Linked DNA regions of Coturnix japonica. The protein of the gene in region 3 purifies or fractionates together with the protein of the main gene of each other region. This does not show direct contact. Links are inferred from orthologs where the notes say so. Each region holds a gene or a part of one and is shown on either strand. Other genes may lie near its edges.

Region 1 (3,645 bases), on a different chromosome or scaffold from region 3:
ATGGGGAAAAACTTGCACAATCTCAGCATTTTCTCCCACACGTCAAGAGGAAATTGCAATGAAATCTCCAGGTTACAGCACACACAGTACTGTAAGAACACCACGTCCCCCATTACATTTCTGTTACACATCCCTTACACAGCTGAGCCGATCACAGCAGACCTGACAGTGACTGGACCAAGGCAAGTCCAGTGCAGGGCACGACATTCCCACAGGGCTCCTTGTCCTCAATTAATTCCCTGAACCAGACTAAGGAAGAAACTCCCTGTCTGTTGTAAACCCTACAAGACACGTGGAGCTTGTCAACAAAAAGCATCCCTCCAACAAAAACTAGGAGTCTGCCAACTAACTTCAATTCTTTCACCCACTTTCCCCTAAGGCGCAGGATGAAGGTGAAGAAATGCCATGAAGAAGACATTAGAGTATCTAAACTACCTAAGCTAACCCAAGAGCTAACACAAACACTCAGCTAAAACTTCAGTCTATGATAGGAATGTTTCAGGCTAAGGGGGAGGGCGAGGTCAGGCTTTATCCCATTCACCTGCTCAGGGAAAAGAATAAACAGCAAATGGATCCCTGGTTACCAGCTGAGGGGAGCTGGTAGTCAAGGCAAGGCTGTCCTGGACCCAATGCAGAAGAGTTAACAAGCTGAAAATGCTGGCAGTGTTTCTGATGAGCTCAGCCTCACCCCAGGTCTAGCAGTGCCTGTAGATTACCTTTCGGAACAGCGTCAGCCGTTGTTGTACATCTTTTCCTGCCCTTTCGATGGCGGGCAGGTTCCTTGGGGAACCACCTGAGGACAGGGTGGAAGGGAGGAGGGGGAAGACAGGGAGAGAGAAATGTTTGTGACTGCTGGCCATGTCAGCAATGCAGAGCCACCACCCATCTGGACTGAGCTTTTCAAGCTGTTACAGTATGCTCTATTCTCTTTTGCCCTCTGGTTTCCACCATGGAAGACCTTCAGTGCAAGCAGTGGACAAGTCTGCAGTCTGAGTTAAAACAAGCCAACAGAAACACCCCCCACAATCAACCTAATGCCATGCACCTTGCTCCACTGACTGCAGAGTCAGTTCCAAATTAACTACACAAGGATGTAACCGCTAGTGCTGGATGCTGCAGTGGTGCTCTACCAAGCTAAGAGCTGGGTGTTCTCCTTACTGCTGCTAAAGGCAGGATTTGAAAACCCCAGACTATAGAGGAGTGCCTTTACCCAGCTGCTGGGGCAGTCACCTTTTCCTCCTTCCCTGCTGCTTTTCACAGGGTAAAACTCTGAATGTCCCAGAGAAGCTGGCTTATGCAAAGCAAGTAAAAAACCCAGCGCCACCACGTTTGTCTGTATTATTGCCCTTCGTGTGACTGCTCTGCCACATGGCAGAAGCTTGTCACTTAATGCCACTGAAATCAAAAGCCCGACACAACATGAAGAACAGGAGATCAGAACAAAAGTCTCACCAGTCGCAATTAGACATTTATCATAGGATATCTGCGTGCCATCATTGAGTTTCACAGTGTTGCCTCTCACATCCATATGCACAACCTGCAAAGAAAACCAAGCAGGGCAGCTCAGGCTTCCACTCATTGTAGGACACCTACTTGAGTCAGATTGCACAGACTACCAAATAGAGAAGAATACTTGGAAGCACCATTTTCACACCTTTGAAATGCTCTGTAATTTTTCAGGGAGGGGGGAACTGGCAATAGGAATTCAGTTTCTTTTGGTAGCAATGACAGATTGGACTGATCACCGCAGGATATGAATGTAAGAAACAATTCAGCAGTGAGAAGACTACATTCTTTGTTTTAGCAAGATATAAAGAACTGAGGAAACCATAAACTCTTTTCCACCTTTCTGCTGCCTCTGTACTCTGCTCTTACTTATGCTGCAGTCCACTACTTTGATGATATTCTACTCACCTCACCTTCCAACTCATATGCAGCTCAGTTCCCATTTTGCCACACAGTCTTTAAGCTCTACATATTCTTATCCCACACACAAACTGTCTTCTTACCTTTAGCTACTACTCCTCATAGCTTCTCCTGCTTTCACACATGCTGTCCTTAATATTAGGGTAGTCCCTGATTCACTGTATACACGTTTCTGAAAACTGTCCACATTCTTCTCCTCAGCCAACCTCCACAACACCATCTACAGCTGTTTATTTCCAGCTCAGACACAGGCTCTGCTTGGGAAGAACTGTATGACATTAGAACGACAGCGAGACATGTAGTACTCACCTTCTTGCCACTGAGAACTGCTACTCCACCATTCTCTACAAAAGGCAAATCACGAGCCTGCACATAGAATGACGGTGGCTGGAAATATATACTGGGAAGAGATCAATTAGCAGATGTGTTCCAGTTACTCTTTGGTACCAGCTATACAGGAATCACCAATGACATGAAAACAACTGTGTGCAACCACAACAAGCCTCAGAAACAGCAAAGAACTAGTTGCTGCACATTGTTACATTCTAGTGTTTAGATCAGAAAGAGATACAGTCACGAATACCAAAGGGATCCGGTGGGATCCAAGGTTCCAGGAGCTCCATTCTGAACTGCAAGGCTCCATCCTCACCTCTACAATTAACTTATTTCACGGGATTTCTCCTACTAGTGGCATATTGTAGCAAAAACACTGTTGAGCTTGAAGCAGTGATTGAACACCTGGTGGGAAGGCAGGGCCAGCCCAGAGGAGCTCAGGTGCATGCAGTGTATCTGAGGGATGAAAGGGATGGAGTCAGGATATGCCTCTTCCCAGCCCTCATTTAAGGGTTGGCAGTGGAAGTAAGGGCATCTCTTGTTGGAGTTCCCTGCATGCTGGAGACCTTCTAAAGGTAAGCACGTTTTTTCCCCTTGTTTCTATACTGCTGCACTTGGGCTTATCCTCATTTGCTTTGGTCAAAGTATTTTGCCCCTCTATTATTATCGTACTTTCCATCGTGTTATAGCATTACACATACATCTAAGGGAATCACAAGTCTCAAATTCAATTTAGTATTGAGCTAACTTATATTAAGCTGCACTCTTCTTGACAACTACCATGCCTTACAGCCTGATCTGTTGCTTGACTGACACGTCTGTAACAGCTCTGCAAACCCACACTCCATGAATCTGCAGCTTTTTGAACTGCACAATGTAGTCACCTGGCCCAGTGCAAACACCACACAAATTCTGCCCACAGCATGCAATGCTCTGTTCCTTTTTGGATTAGTCAACCAACAATACACACAAATACACACACACCCAGGGCCTTCAGCACAAACACAGTGCTACCTGGTGATCTGCCTTCTGAGCATTTCAGGGCTCTCCAGTGGTTCTCTCATAAGACTACTTTAATCATCAGCAGCTTCTTTATAGACCCTCTTCTTTGTCTTTCCTGCCCAAGTGACACATACCTCCTTTCTTTGCCATTCCACTGTTTGAACCGTAGAGTTTCTGTCACGTGAGGATCATCTGAAAACCACAGCTCTTTGGAGAGAGGTGGACGCATGTAGGGCAGTGCAGGATCTTCAGACACAATCAGTACCTTTAAACAAGCAGTCATCAGACATGTCAGCTACACCAGTGCTGGCAAACATAGAAACATTACATAGGCTCTGAAGCAAGAATGCATTCAGCCATTTACAGAGATCTCTTCTAGAACAG
Region 2 (4,183 bases), on a different chromosome or scaffold from region 3:
TGTGGTACCAGCCAATTGCATTTTCTAGACGACCAACCTAACAGCAGTGAAGGAAAACAAATCCAGTGATGATCCTCATTCGTAAAGCATGGGCTGCCCTCTACTGAGCCTTCCAGCACACTACAACGCAGCAAGAGGATAAAAAGAATATACACAGCCTGTATGCTAACTTGAAATATTCAACATGCACTTTATTTTGCTTAACTATAAAAGAAGTTCCCAAATAATACTCCGGGATATCTCAGCAAGTACCCCAAACAAACAAACAAAACCAATCAAAATTGATTGTTAATCACGGTGAATAAACAGCCAGCGCACCTAGTTTATTGTAACTGGCCAAGAACTGTGTACTGGCTGATCAATATTGAGTGAAAGGATTTATGTACATCCTACATGGCAGTGTGTTCAATGCATTCAGCTGCTTGGTTTTGCCAAATACTGAGCATACCAGGAAGGTTAAATCTGGAAACTATTAAGAGGGACAGAACACACGATCTACCCAACTGAACATTTGAGTCGTTGAAACAAATAACATTTTTCTTTTAACTATTTTATCATCAGATCCTGCCTATGGAGGAGCAAGTAATTGCAACATTAGCTTCTGTAGAGCACTTATGCAGAGTGCTCTTATTATCAACATGTAATCTAACATTAAAAAGAGTTACTCCAGGACAAAGTGCTTTCCAACCTCAGATGTGAAGCAGCCAGGACGCACTGTCAGAGCTCCAGTAAAGCTGAGTTATTGTTTTTGCTTTATTTTCGTATCATGAATTCTCCCATATAAACCTGGGCTGTTCTAAAAGTCAAATGAACTAACCGTACATGTAAATACCGATGCCATGCTCTATACTTAAGACAATTTTTCTACCTAAGAACTGGGTAGTACAAACGTATCTTCAGATATAAACACCCTTTCATTTTCTATACTTTTCAGTAAGAATACAATAAATCATTACTTTAATAATATATTAAAGTAATAATAATATAAGTAATAATATATTAAAGTAATACGTTAAATAGATCACTTAGAAATTTTCTCATAAAGAAGCGTGATAAGTTAACGAAAAACAACAAAAAAACCCACCACAGGCCTTAGAACATCCTTACCTTTGGGCTGTATTTACTCTCTTCTGAAGTCACGATCCAACCTAATTTAGTTAAATGTCCTTAAACCCACAGAAAGCTGTGACACCTCTCCAAAATAACCTAAATAGTTGTACCTTTATCTACACTATGTAAGGACCCTCTAATTTCAGCTGAGTTAAAATACTTTAAGGATTAATGACAAATCAAAGGGTAAACTAGGCCTCAAACTATTTGAGCTTGGACAGTCTGAGGGATTCCAGTGCTTATTTGAGCCAGCAAGTGCTCATATGCCATGTCAGCTTCTGCATCAGCCACAGAGCAGATTAATATTTCACAGAATCACATAGTTGTATGGATTGGAAGGGACTTCTGGGGATAACCATCTAGCCCAACCCCTCTGCTAAAAGCAGATTGCCTATAGTGGGTCAGAGGAAAACATCAAGCAGGTTCTGAATATCTTCAGAGGAGATTCCACAACCCCTCTGGGCAGCTTGTTCCAGGGCACCATCACTCTGATGATAAAGTTCTTCCTTCTGTTTGTATGGAACTTCCTGTGTTGCAGATTTGTTTTGTTGCTTCTTATTCTGTTGCTGCATACCACTGAAAGGAGTCTGGCTGTGTCCACTTGACTCCTACACTTTAGATATTTATAAACAGTAATGAGATCCCTCAGCCTTCTCCAGGCTGAACAGTCCCAGCTCTCTCAGCCTTTCCTCATGCAGGAGATGCTCCAGAACCCTCATATCTTAGTGGCGCTCTGCAGGACTCTCTCCAGAAGCTCCCTGTCTTTCTTGAACGGAGGAGCCCAGAACTGGACAGAATACTTCAGCTGTGGCATTACTGGGGCAGAGAGGGAGGACCACCCTCCCTCCGCAATTGAGAATTTTACTGCACTTTCAGACTTAAGACTTCCAAAAGCAAGAAGTTAAGAGCAACGCCATATCCCCCCCACCGCAGCATACCTGCTTGGCGTTCTCGATGTAGGCGGCCATGTACTCGTAGGCGGCCGCCTGCGCGTTGACGCGGGTCTCGGTGCCCTCCACCGGCAGAGCGAAGCTGTCCATGATGATCATGGTCTCCCCGTCCACCTTGCCCAGCATCAGCCCCATCACCTCCAGGTTGCCCCCCGAGCGGGCGTGCATCACCATCTTCAGCAGGGCCAGCGCCGAGATCTTGCAGTACTTGAAGTAATGGTGGCTGCGGCGGGACAGAGGCCGATTTAGCGCTCAGGGCCTCTCCTCGCCTCGCCTCGCCTCAACCCCCGGCCCCGCCGCCCGCTCTCCCGCCCGCCCCACGGCCCCGCTCTCACTCCTTAGTCCAGGGTTTGGCCGCCAGGATCTCCTGCTGCTGCTTGCGGTCGTACTTGTAGATCTCGTCGATGCTCTGCGCCTCCTGCATGTTGTTGGCCAGCTCCCACGTCTTCTGCGCCATCCCGCTCCCGGACGAGCCGCTCGCCGCCGCCATCGCGCCCCGCGCCCGCTCCGCCCAACCCCTCCGCAGCCGCAGCGGCCCGAGCCAGGCCGCGACTCGCCGGGCGGAACGGGGAGCTGCTGCGGTCCGCGCAGGCCCGGGGAAGCCGGGAGGTGGAGGCCAAGCGGCCGGGCCGGGTCCTCCGCGGCGACAGGCGGCGCTAGCGAGAATGAGCTCCGGGACGGCAGAAAGCCGCCCGCCGGCTTCCGGGGAGGTGGCGACCGGCGCGGGAGGCGGACGGGGCTGTGTGTGCCGGTGAGCGGCGGTGCGGGCGGGTCAGCGCTCGGTGCTGCCTCGCTCCGTTTTGCCCCATTCCCGGCTCCGCAGAGCGGAGGTCGAGCGTCCGCCCCGGGCTGCGAGCGGGCGGCCTCGCTGTCTTCCGCGGGGCTGAGCGGCGGGGAACGGGATGGGCCCGGCAGGCGGTGCGGGGAGCGGGGAACGGGGGAACGGGGGAACGGGGCCTGGCCTGGCCTGGCCTGGCCTCTGTGTGCCCTGTGTGCCCGGTGGGGGCGGTGGGGCGTTGTGCGGGAGCCGCTTGTTGCACGGCCGTTGCCTAACAACGGAGTAACGCTGCTGTGAGGGGCCGGGCCTCCGCCCCGCCCCGCTCCGGGAGCAGTCTGAGGAGGCGGAGGGGGTTCGCTTATGGGGAAATAAATGTGAGCCGTCCCTGAGGGATTCCTCAGATTAATTAGGTTTTGGGTCAGAGGAGGTGGACTGGAATCCTAAATGAAGTCTTAGGGTGAGAGGAGATGACTCAGAACTCATTGGCTTGGTGTTTTGATGGATGGCTGCCTTCACAGTTAGGAAAAGTCATACTGTTTTAGTTAATTGTGGGCGTGCCTGTAAGTGCAGTTACTGAACGTGGCGTGTAGGAGCTTCTTGAAGCACTTCACTCCCCTGCCACCCCTGCTACAGTCTCCGTGGAGGAAAATTGCCATCTGCCAAGTTTTCTGGATATTTAGAATTATGATAGCACAGCATATAGCGTGTCTGATCACAAGTGCTGATTTTAGATCCTATGCATTGCTTCCTTGAAGAAATACAAGGGAAAGGGTAAAAAGGAATGCACTGAATGTTCCCCGAGGTAATGAAAGAGATGTATGATGCTCTTTCCAATATACTGACCGTGTATACAAATAGGTGGTTTGAATGTCTCGAGAATGGAGACATGCATTATTAATTGTGTTTGGGTGTAGGTCCAGCGTCTGTATCTCTGGCATTTGAGCATGGCTTTTTCTCTGTGCTTTGCATTGCCTGCAGTATGCGATTAAGCAAGCCTGGTTTAGAACCTGCTGCCATCAATAGGAATGATTGCAAGGGTCTGGTCATTCACACCATTCGTTCTGACACATTGCTAAGCCAACATCGTACTGTTTTATGTAGCACTTAAGTTTTTTATGTTGACAGGTAAATCTGGGCAGCAGTATAATAAGCCATTTTCTCTTGTCTGATGAAACTTGCAGTCCTTCATGCAGGGATTTTCCCTGCTGTGGGTGCTGCACTGTGTAGCTGATGCCACCAATTCTTTAAGTTGATCACCATGACAGGTTATTCACTCAGAACAGGCATTTTATTATTCTTATGTAACTTAATAGGCTCAACGAAACACATCGGTGCCTGAAATCTT
Region 3 (4,228 bases):
AGGCCTTTCCTTCCCTTATGGCTTCCCCCTCAACACATAAAGATGCTACAGCTTAACTGAACGCAGTTTAAATAATCAGAGCCAGCATATATACATTATTTCAACTCCACTGTTGCCAGTTCTTGTGGAAATGCACCAGCTAGGTCCCTACAGACTGATGCATCAGCACACCAGGACAGACAAAACGCTACAGTGTGTTAGTTCCCCGCTGTGTATCCAAGTGCTTTATTCAATAGTTACCTATCATATCCTTCTAAGATTCCTCCTTCAGGAAAACACACCATAGACAAAGAAGGTTTCCACCATATTAGAAGTTGCACAGAAGTATTTCTATATACTTAAAGTTACTGTGAAAGACAAAAGCTACTTACATGGAAAAATGGCTTGATCATTTTGCATGGTCCACACCATGTGGCAGAGAAATCAACTACTATAAGCTTCTCACCAGCAGCTTTCAGTTCTGCCTCAAATTCGGACTGTAAAGAAAAAAGAAATCAAAACATTAAGGATTTCCCCCCTCATTTGCAAAAGGTTCAAGACTAACCCCCAAGTCAGCTTTCCCTTAGCTCCATCAGCACTGCATCCCCCACTGTCTTCTGATGAATTATGAGTATCAATTATGAAACATCACAATGCTCAGTCACTGAACTGTGGAAGTTTATGTAGAACTCAGCATGAACTGAGACCGTAAGCTAAACTGAGTAATGTTACACTTCTAACGTGATCCTGACGGTCCTTAGCATTCAGTTCTAATCTCCAATTTAATAGGATGTCGTCCATTTTCTTCTAGGATTCCTCAGAATCTGAGGACAAACTTCCACAGTTTCATGGTCTGATACCTTTCCCAAGCAATGGTTAGAATCAAGATGTTGCGTGGTTTACCCTACAGCATGTTTCCTAGAGCAACAGCTTCATCATATAAATATTTTATTATGCCAAGTAAATTGGGGTGTAACTCCAGTACTCAATGCAAAGCTACACAGTCTATGCCAGTAACAACTAACATTTAAGGTTAACAGAGATATCTCTGTTGCACTTTGTTACAAGAGACATTTCTGGACATCACGCTTTGCATTTCAGAGCTCCTTATGTGCCGCTGTTTTCAAAGAGCAAATGTTTCAACAGAAGTGTAAGGCACTGAAGGAAAGAAATATTTGCATGCTAAAAAACAAACAAGTATCTCAGGCAGAGCAAGCAGAGGATGCTGATCCAACACACAGGCAAGGGTGGCAGCAAGAAGTTCTTCCTCTCTCTCTTCTTCTCCACCACTGTGCTAATGTGGGGTGTATTCCTGCATCCCAGTCTCTAAAGCACAACACTGCCTCCAGCAAAGTTCAGCGTTCACATACACAGTAGTCCATGCTATCTGCTCCCAGTGGTTACTTAAAACCATAAGGCTGTTAAATAGAGCCTCACTCACTCCCACCTCCAAATCCCTGATTTCTGGCATATATTCTCACAACTTAGTGCTGTAACAGCCTTATTAATATTAATTCTACCTCCTGCACCCACCAATTGGACTATTTTCCTCAGTCCAAATGACTGATTGCTGTACCCTGCATGAGGAAGGCCATCCCTGGGACGCGCTGATCATATGACCACACATCTCAGGGCAATATTGCACAGAACAAGGGCAAAGTGGGAGGACATGGCACTTCCTGCAGATCACAACCCATACACCACTGGAGATCTGAGCACTGCTCTCCAGCTGCAGCCAGGCGTTACCCTGTGAGTCATCCCTAGAATTAGCTAAAATTGCTACAGGCAGCCTGAGAAGAGACACGAGGTCCAACGGTGTTACCCCTGAGATACCCAGCAAGGGGTAAGTGTTGGTATTTTTTCCTCAGAAAACATTAATATCCCTGAAGTAAGGAATACAGCAGGAAAACTGGCTGACCTTTCTGACTTCTAGTCTTTCTGCAGTAAGTATGGATTAATAAGATTCATACAGAAATATCTCCATTATCAGAATGGACACCTCCCCCTGTTAGTCCACGTGGCTACAGCTGTTAGAGGATCTCACAGCTTTTTCAGCAATATTTTCCTTAGTCCTCTGGAGGGGAAAAGCCCATAAACACTTTTCAAATACCCATCTGGTGCCTCCCTGAGGCCTCGGCCTCACTTTGCTGGGCGCAGCAGGCAGCATTATGTTAGCAGATTTCAGTTTCCAAGGGCCGGCTGCGAGAAAACAGGTGGCAAGGAGAGGTTCAATGCAGCAGGGATTCCCAGCAACCCAAAATGGAGGCCACCAACCAACGCCGTAAGAAATCCACCGCCCTCAGCATAGCTGGGACAGCCTTAATACAAGACCCCAGCTATAAGCACGATGTCTGACACCCACCGAGCCGCCCTTGGGCCGTGCTGATCCGGCAACCTGATCTAGTAAAGGCGTATGTTTGGTGGCCCTGCCAGGCAGGGGGGTTGGAACTACATGATCCTTGAGGTCCCTCCCAACCCGGGTCATTCTGTGATCGCGGCCATCAGCTGACAGCCAAGGGTCAGGGCGACGTGTTGCAGTTTAACCCGCTCCCGCAGTGCCCCCTGCGGCCGGAGCGCAGCCGCCATTGGGGAGCGGCCTCAGGCTCAGCGCACACAAAGGAGCGCGGCCCAAGGCCCGGCGCCGACACCAAGCCCCCCTCACCCACACCCCACCGTGCCGCCCCATGCACTCACCAGGCTGCCCACGCTCTTCACCATGGCGGCTCTCACTGTGCTGTACGGTCACAAGGCGGACAACGGGCTCGTCCCCGCGCACGCGCGTCCCGCACGCCGCTGCGCTCTCGGCTGTGTCTATACCGGTCCTCACTCCGCAACGCCAAACCAACGCTCTGCCGCCGCCGCCCCGGGCCTGCCCTTATATAGCCACCGCTGCATCGCGCATGCGCACTGAGCGCTCAGCCCATCGCCGGGCCACGCCCCTTCCCGCCCATGGCGCGGGTGACGTCACGAGGCGGGAAGGGGAGCGGCCGTTATAGTTCTTTCACAGGGCGGGGGTTGGGGGGAGCAGCGAGAGGGGGGAGAGGAGGGAAAATAGGGGGAAAAAAAGAAATAAAAAAAAAAAAAAAAAAAAAAAAGAAAGAAAAAAAAAACCAACCGTGTGACTGTAAGAAAAAGTGCTGCGTAACGCCGAGCAGGAAGTGGCGGGCAGGATCCTGCCCTGGAGGAGGGGAGGGGGTGGGAACCCGTATGGGGGGACTCCTCCTGTTTTATTTCTCGATTCTGTTTTAAAATCGTTTTAAAACTGGGTTTTTTTTCTGCCTCCAGCACCCATGTGCTGCGACACGGGCTGTGTGCTGGCCGTGCCACGTGTCTGCCTGTCCCCATGTCCGTGTGTCTGTCCCCTGTCTGCCCATGCTCCATATCTTCCTTTTCCTTTTATTCCCAGCCCCCTTGGCTTGTAAGAGACCCCAAAGATCATCCAGTTCCTGCATGGGAACCAACGGCTTCCCCTAGTTCAGCACCATCAGAGGACAATCAGTGTGCACTCAGCTCCCCGATAACCCACTGAAGAGACTGGACCTTAAATGGAGCCAATGCAGGACCCCACTGGTGACAATCTGCCATGTAACCCCATTAATACAACCCTCCAGTCCTGGCCCGTCAGCCAGCAGTTCTCCCAAGGCATTATACAGTGTCTAAGTGGCGCTGGACTTTGTGACCAGAGGATACAGTGAGAATCACACAGTGCAGCAGAAGGGCCAGTTTCACAGCAGATCCAAGCCTGGCCATGTCACAGAGGGCTGGGCACGTCCGGCATTAAGCAATGGTGCAGACAGCTGCCAAAGGGAGGAAGCTGCTGGAAGAACTGCCTGCAGCAACAGCTGCACCACGTTTTATCGCAGGAGAGACGGGTTATCTGCAGTGCATTACCACGCTGCATTTCATCTGGCCCTGACAGTCTTTAATGGTGCTTTCCCGTTCCTTGCAGCCTGCTCCTTGGGAGCACTCTTCTGTTGTAACTGACCCATTAAAGGTGCAATAAATATTTAATAATTAGATGGGTGTGCTGGGTGTCTGCCAGCCATATGCGCAGTGCACACAGAGCTCTGCTCTCACTGGTGACGTACCCAATCACCCAGCCTCTCTTGAACACTTGGCAGAGCACATCTGGTTGAAAGACGGAGGAGAAGCCATTGAACAATGACAGAAAGGAGGGGGAGAGCACTGCCACATACTGTACTTTCCAGGAATCAGCCCTGTGCTTCCAGGAAGCTGGCAGGAAGCAGGA

The links.
Region 1: the proteins of TXN (region 3) and AIFM1 purify together in Homo sapiens (affinity purification with mass spectrometry; 3 studies listed by BioGRID and IntAct, with this or other methods). This does not show direct contact. The link is inferred for Coturnix japonica from reciprocal best matches to the Homo sapiens genes TXN and AIFM1.
Region 2: the proteins of TXN (region 3) and COPS5 purify together in Homo sapiens (affinity purification with western blotting; 3 studies listed by BioGRID and IntAct, with this or other methods). This does not show direct contact. The link is inferred for Coturnix japonica from reciprocal best matches to the Homo sapiens genes TXN and COPS5.

Annotation. Positions count from the first base shown.
Region 1 is NC_029519.1:1,537,110-1,540,754, reverse strand, and holds part of AIFM1 (apoptosis-inducing factor 1, mitochondrial), read right to left. Parts: intron 3,527-3,645; coding exon 3,396-3,526; intron 2,327-3,395; coding exon 2,236-2,326; intron 2,181-2,235; exon of another isoform or gene 2,010-2,180; intron 1,538-2,009; coding exon 1,453-1,537; intron 794-1,452; coding exon 717-793; intron 1-716. UniProt on the Homo sapiens protein: Functions both as NADH oxidoreductase and as regulator of apoptosis.
Region 2 is NC_029517.1:104,436,210-104,440,392, forward strand, and holds the start of COPS5 (COP9 signalosome complex subunit 5), read right to left. Parts: upstream 2,918-4,183; 5' UTR 2,551-2,917; coding exon 2,396-2,550; intron 2,284-2,395; coding exon 2,049-2,283; intron 38-2,048; coding exon 1-37. UniProt on the Homo sapiens protein: Probable protease subunit of the COP9 signalosome complex (CSN), a complex involved in various cellular and developmental processes.
Region 3 is NC_029547.1:59,052,473-59,056,700, forward strand, and holds the start of TXN (thioredoxin), read right to left. Parts: upstream 2,899-4,228; 5' UTR 2,698-2,898; coding exon 2,674-2,697; intron 477-2,673; coding exon 372-476; intron 1-371. UniProt on the Homo sapiens protein: Participates in various redox reactions through the reversible oxidation of its active center dithiol to a disulfide and catalyzes dithiol-disulfide exchange reactions.